2 linked regions of the Oryzias latipes genome follow. The protein of the gene in region 1 purifies or fractionates together with the protein of each later gene. This does not show direct contact. Links are inferred from orthologs where the notes say so. Each region holds a gene or a part of one and is shown on either strand. Other genes may lie near its edges.

Region 1 (4,097 bases):
AAAGAAGTCATAATCTTTGGCCTGTCAATACACAACAATGTAAATAATGTATGTATCAATACTGTGTTATGTTTAGACAAGTTTTTTATACACAAAAATAGGTTACAGAAATGCCACCCCAGCTTTAGCTTCTTTAATAATGAGGTCAATTTATACTTAAAATCCATAAAGTTAATCGACTCACCTAAAGCCATAACAATTTATGACACCCTGAGTGATATTCCTGATGTCTAAGACAGTTTATTTATATTTTGTATCCCCCTGCTTTTTGCAACACTATCCAACTCTGAAATTGTTGTTCTCTTATGTTATACTTTTCCCTGATTTCTCTATGATTATGAATATACATAGGTTTATGTTTGCATACTGATAAGAATTTTTCTTCTTTTTGCTTCCTTTCCAATTATAGTATTCTCTTTTGTATTCGCCATATTTTGTAATTTTTATGTAAATGTTCTGGTATTGTTTTGTATTGTTCTATAAAAAAAAAAAAAAAAAAAAAAAAGGGGAAGAAAGACTCACAAAAACGCATGCAGGAATGGTCCCATCTCCAATAGTGTGCTCGGCATACTCCTTCAGGTTTGGGCTCTCGTGAATAAAAGCTCTGCTGGTGGCTGGCAGTCCCTCTTCCTGCAGGTATCCTGAAGAAAGATGGAAATCAAACTGCTCACCCCCAAAAAGAAACTGCACGAACACAAACGGAAAACCCAACTGCTATCCCAAGCCGGTGAGCCCTGTCAGCTTTAATCCGCCCATCTTACCCTTCGTTTTCGAGACAGGCTAAAAGCTACAGCTACAATCCCCTCTTCCTTCCTCTGGCTTTGACTTACCCAAAACAAGCCGGGCCACATCAGAAGGGAGCAACATGGCAGCCTAACAGCTAATACGATATATTCGGGGTTTAAAAGATACACAAAAACGTCAAGTAAAAGAATTAGCGACTATAAATAGACAACATAAAACTAGTCGATTTCGGTGATGTTGTTGTCCTGAGGCTGAGTGTACTCCAGCTATTTCAAAAGGCGGGGAACTCAATCATGTATAACCCGGAAGACTTAAAGTGACACACCGATTAGATCTCTGGTAATTGTAGTTAACAACACAGAAAATCTTAGCTAGGTGTTTTAAAACGCCACAAATAACGGCACATTTTCTAATTTTAAAATTTTAGACAGTCTCAACTTCTAATTACATTAAATATTATGTAAAAGTGCAACGAAATCATGCGTTTCTTAAATAATAAATAAATAAATAAAGTCGTTCAAGACGTATACGACCAGGAAGTAGACGTCACTGGTACTGGGGCGGGAATCTGCGTGTGCGTGTAGCTGCTAACGCACGTCGAGGGGAATGGAAAAGTTGCTGTAGGGACAGTAGCACCTTGGCTAACACCTGTCTGTGCACGAGCGCTGGGCAGCTTGGAAATAACAGTCACCTGAGGTCCGTAAAGAAGCCGAGAGCAACCGGTCCCATATGTGTGTCAGTCCATTTCCCTCCAACCTTTTTTACCTTTTTTTTTTTGAAAGGAAGAGGACAGAAACTTTCGCTTTCTCATCCGCCCTGCAAGATAATTATATGAGCTTTTCTCCCCCTCTGCCAGCAAAGTTTACTCAGGTAACAAAAGACAAAACCCCGAAATTTGCACAAATTTAAAGCGATTTCTAACAACACAATGACAAGTCTACAACTCCTAACAATTCTCGTTTATTATTGCACGTCTGGCTTCATTTTTTTGCATTTGGCACAGAATTTGAACGAGCCTTTGCCTGGGCGACCTTCTGTGGTACTTTGAAGGCATTAAGGTGCTTTAAAAAGACATCCATCCACCACGTGACAGCTGTCTGTACACACCCACACTATGCTGACAATCCTCATGTTTGCAGAGCATAAACCATTCTGCATTTTGCCTTGAATGGAAGCAGTCAGAGACCTTACAGAGCCTTTGTGTATGTTGATATTTGGAACAGATGTGATGATGCTTTGATGTTGTCCAGACAGGTACAACAATCAGCTGTGAAGCAGGATGAGTCTGGCTCTACATGATTTACTGCTCTGCTGCAGAGGGCTGGAACATGATAAAGCTACTGAGAGAAAGGTAAAAACGCAAACATCCTAACATTTGGGGACTTAGTAGAAAAATTATATCTTTCATTCATTCATCTTTGAATCCCTGGAGCCTATCCCGAACGCAGGGGACATCCTGGACAGGGGCCAGTCTGTTGCAGGGTCACAATCACCCATCCATGCACTCTCACATTCACACCTAGGGACAATTTAGAGCAGGGGTCGGGAACCTATGGCTCGCGAGCCATATATGGCTCTTTTGATGGTCACATGTGGCTCGCAGACACATTTTTAATTTTTTCTTTTTCATTAGACCAGTCCTTCTCGGGCGCGATGGGATGGCAGAGGCGCACAGTAGTAGCGGTGCTTGGAGAGAAGGATCTGCGCCAGCATTATCAGTTTACAATTATCTATTATTTCACAGAGTTTGTACCAGCCGGAAACCTGTGAATTGCCGTGCCTAAAACTGCGCGCCCCCGTCTCTGAGAAAGAGCGCGCAGTAGCGGGGACAGGATGTGACTGAGAGGGAGAAAGCAGAGGGTGAGGGTGGAGTTGTGGGCTCGGTCAGTAAGGTGAACCGCGCAGGGATTGTAAAAACATAAAACCTGCTGCCCGTCACTCACTGCAGCGTGTGAGTGTGTGTGTTTGGCTCCGCGTCTGCATGTGATCAGTCTGTCTCACATTTACAGAACATTCAGACCTATGATCACGTTTAAAGTCTCAACGCCTGAACGAAGCAGAAACTCACCACGTATCAACCAGACTAGACCATCAACAAAACTACCACGAGAAATACTCATCATTTATTAGCAACAGCATAACAATGTTATTAAAAATAATCCACAGACTTATTGTACTTTAAAAGTGTTGAAATTATATCAAATGCACACATTCACTTGAATATTTAGTTTTAAACATATTGTAGCGGACTGAGTTTAACTTGGCTGTTGGGCCGCGTTAAAAGTTCTGGAGTTCCTTGAACGCATCAAGCAGAGATCTGATTGGCTCTTAGTTCTGTCGCTCAGCTTGTTGTTAGTTAATTTGGACCAATGGGGTTCAGCTATGGGCCGAATAAGGGAAATGGGAGGGCTGGAGCGGGAGGGGGGAATATAAAGTTGGGAGAAGCGCTCTCGTCTCGGCGGGAGAGATTCAGGAGCTGCTGAATTAATTTACGGCATTTGTTACAGCCTGCATTAACCAGAATAAAGAACCTTAAAAGAGGTTAAGTCTCCGTGTGGGAAAAGGACACTACATTATTGTATGGCTCTTTCGAAATTACATTTAAAAATATGTGGCGTTTATGGCTCTCTTGGCCAAAAAGGTTCCCGACCCCTGATTTAGAGGATCCAATAACCTATGATGAAGCATGTCTTTGGACTGTGGGAGGAAGCCGGGGTCCCCAAAGAAAACCCACGCATACACGGGGAGAACATGCCAACTCCACACAGAAAGGTCCCCCATCGATGTTCTGCTTCAGGTCCCCCAGCCGGGGACTTGAACCAGGGGCCTTCTTGCTGTGAGGCAAGAGCGCTAACCACTGGTTAAATAATGGATTTGTGTTTTTTGTTCATTTATTTCAGTTAATAAGGTTTTGTTTGGATTTTTAACTCATCAGAAGGGGGTGACGTCATGATAGAAAATGTCAAGCTTTACGTAGCTTTCTTGCAGTTAAATGTGCTTCAGCTGGAGGATCTTATTTGAAACAATCATTTTGGTCTAATTTATTTTTGAAAAGAATTTGTGTGTGCTGCTGTAATAATAAAAGACAGTCAAATCGTTATACAGTACACAGAAAAAAACATTCACTTTATACTTAAATTATTGTAAATATTTTGAAGTGATTTTATAAATGAATAGCTAAATGGCCTGAGAAACATAAATAAAATTTGTTTTTCGAACAGGGAAGTGGGAATTTGTGGCTTTCACTAGGTTTTGTTCATTTAGAAACTAACCCAAATGACTCTTTTAGCGTTAAAGGTTGCAGACCCCTTGTTTGGGTGAATACTCTACTCTGATTGGCTGTACTGGATGTC
Region 2 (2,382 bases), on another chromosome or scaffold:
TTTTTTCTTCTCTTTTGACAGATATATATTCAAAGGTGGAGCTAAGCATCCACAAAACAAATTTACAAGAATGAAACTGCAATATTGAAAGTTTGTGTGACCTATTACTTGTTCAAAAATTGTATTTATTGCAAATAAATTATTTTCTAAACTATTACTTAATATTAGCATCTGTATTCTCTTTTTTGTGCATTATTCAAAGAAGATTCTTACAGCAAAGATACAAAATACATCAGTATACAAACCTCTTTCCTTACACAAAGGTTTCTTGCAGATCCGTATGGTTTCCCTCTCAAACCACTATTTATCCAGGTATACTGGATGGAGAAGATGTCTTTAAAAAGTAAATAGGTATCCCTTGAAAAGGAGATTTGGTCTCAATGGGAATTTTTAATCAACAAAACTCGATCATATAACTCGAACACAGCTTGGTAAATCTAAGCTGGAGTTCCTGAAAAAAATAAGAGGTAAGCGGTTTGTTTAACACAACTGTTTGTAACAGTATGCTAAATACTAAAGTCTTTAATTTAAAGTAACTTTTTAAGTAAATAGTATCCAGTTGTTCCTACATTCTCAAAATGAGTTATTGGAAAAAACACAAACTGCTTAGATAGCTTTTTGCCAAGATATGCAGCTAAAATACAGCGCAACAAACACGTCCCTTTGCTTATTTATTTATGTAAACATCAATAAAGTTCTTAGATTCCATAACACTCACAATCTTTCAAAATTCACACACATATACTGTACATATCAAGGTTATTTCAGTTTATGCCACAAAGTGTATAATCTGGCATGTAGTTGAACACTTAAAAGAAATGATCTTAGGTTTTGGAATTTTCTAGATACCATCAACTCTGCTGCTCAGCTTCAATTATTCACGTGACTTTGGTCAGCGGCTGTGTTAAAACCGCCAAAGGTTTAAACCTGGAGGGAACATTTCCGATTGGTCTGATGTGTCTGCCACATAGCCACTCATAACATGGAGACCAAAGTACTAACCAATCGTTTCCCTTTATCCCACAACCCTTTACGTGATTGGTTCATAGCCTAAACGCTGTAAATCGAAGACGTTGACCAACGTTTCCGGTTTCGTCTCGCTAAACCAATGAAATCGCAGTACTTCCTCTTTGAAAGCCAATCGATGCTTAGGGCGGGACCAAAACGGGGTTTATATCCAGGTCAACGTGGTGCTATTTGGATATCTGTATTGCAGCACTGAAAGACAACGTTTGTGTTTACAAACCGGAGGGAACTTTCTACATCGAATATGTCCGGAAGAGGAAAAACTGGAGCAAAGGCCCGCGCTAAGGCAAAGACCCGCAGCTCACGTGCTGGTCTGCAATTCCCCGTGGGCCGTGTTCACCGTCTACTCCGTAAGGGAAACTACGCCGAGAGAGTAGGTGCCGGAGCCCCGGTTTACCTGGCCGCCGTGCTCGAGTACCTTACCGCTGAGATCCTGGAGTTGGCCGGGAACGCCGCCAGGGACAACAAGAAGACCCGCATCATCCCACGCCATCTTCAGCTGGCCGTTCGCAACGACGAGGAGCTGAACAAGCTGCTTGGCGGCGTGACCATCGCCCAGGGCGGCGTCCTGCCAAACATCCAGGCCGTCCTGCTGCCGAAGAAGACCGGCCAGGCTACACCAAGTTCCGGAAAGGCGGGAAAGAAGTCTTCGCAGTCTCAAGAATATTAGCTTCTAAGCTATCGCCGCTAAAAACCAAAGGCCCTTTTAAGGGCCACTCACTCACTGAAAGAGCACCTTTCCCCTCATGATGTACATATGACCGATGACTGACTTTACTGTATAAACTACCGTAACATGTACTTAGTAAAACGTTACATTCAGGGCTTTTCATTAAACTGAAAATTTGATTGTTCACTCTTGTTTCTTTGTGTTCTTTCCCTACTCAGCAGAAAATTAAACTATATTAAAGGACTTCATAACATTTACATTGCATAAGGTAGTAAACAAACTAAGATGTCGGAACCGGGATAAATTGTGTCCTAAGGTCTGACAAATTCAAATTAACTAAGTTATACTGCAAAATGTAGTTTTGATCTTACAAAACCAGGAGATTTGTCAAAATTGTGATCATAGCATGTCGTAATTAGTAAAACTAAACGAAATGTTCTTCAAAGTCAGGAGGAAACTAATAGATCTGAATCATGATCGACAATTTGTTCCAAACCGGTTTAGTGTTAAAAGTCCAGCAGGAAACTAAACCCTGACTTAGCTTTGGTTGAATTTTAAACTGTTTAAAACCTTATTGAAGATTTCCAATATAGATTTCCATTTAGTTGCATAACAATTGCCAATATCCAGAGTCAGGTATGAAATAATGCATGTAAAAATAACCAAACCATAATGATAAACCAGAA

Evidence for each region. The genes of interacting proteins can lie anywhere in the genome.
Region 2: the proteins of atm (region 1) and histone H2AX purify together in Homo sapiens (affinity purification with western blotting; 11 studies listed by BioGRID and IntAct, with this or other methods). This does not show direct contact. The link is inferred for Oryzias latipes from reciprocal best matches to the Homo sapiens genes ATM and H2AX.

What each region holds. Positions count from the first base shown.
Region 1 is NC_019871.2:24,872,565-24,876,661, forward strand, and holds the start of atm (serine-protein kinase ATM), read left to right. Parts: upstream 1-1,297; 5' UTR 1,298-1,614; intron 1,615-1,994; 5' UTR 1,995-2,023; coding exon 2,024-2,095; intron 2,096-4,097. Other genes in the region: protein NPAT, read right to left, coding at 523-641, 831-867.
Region 2 is NC_019872.2:15,234,268-15,236,649, forward strand, and holds histone H2AX, read left to right. Parts: upstream 1-1,171; 5' UTR 1,172-1,270; coding exon 1,271-1,696; 3' UTR 1,697-1,882; downstream 1,883-2,382. UniProt on the Homo sapiens protein: Variant histone H2A which replaces conventional H2A in a subset of nucleosomes. Nucleosomes wrap and compact DNA into chromatin, limiting DNA accessibility to the cellular machineries which require DNA as a template.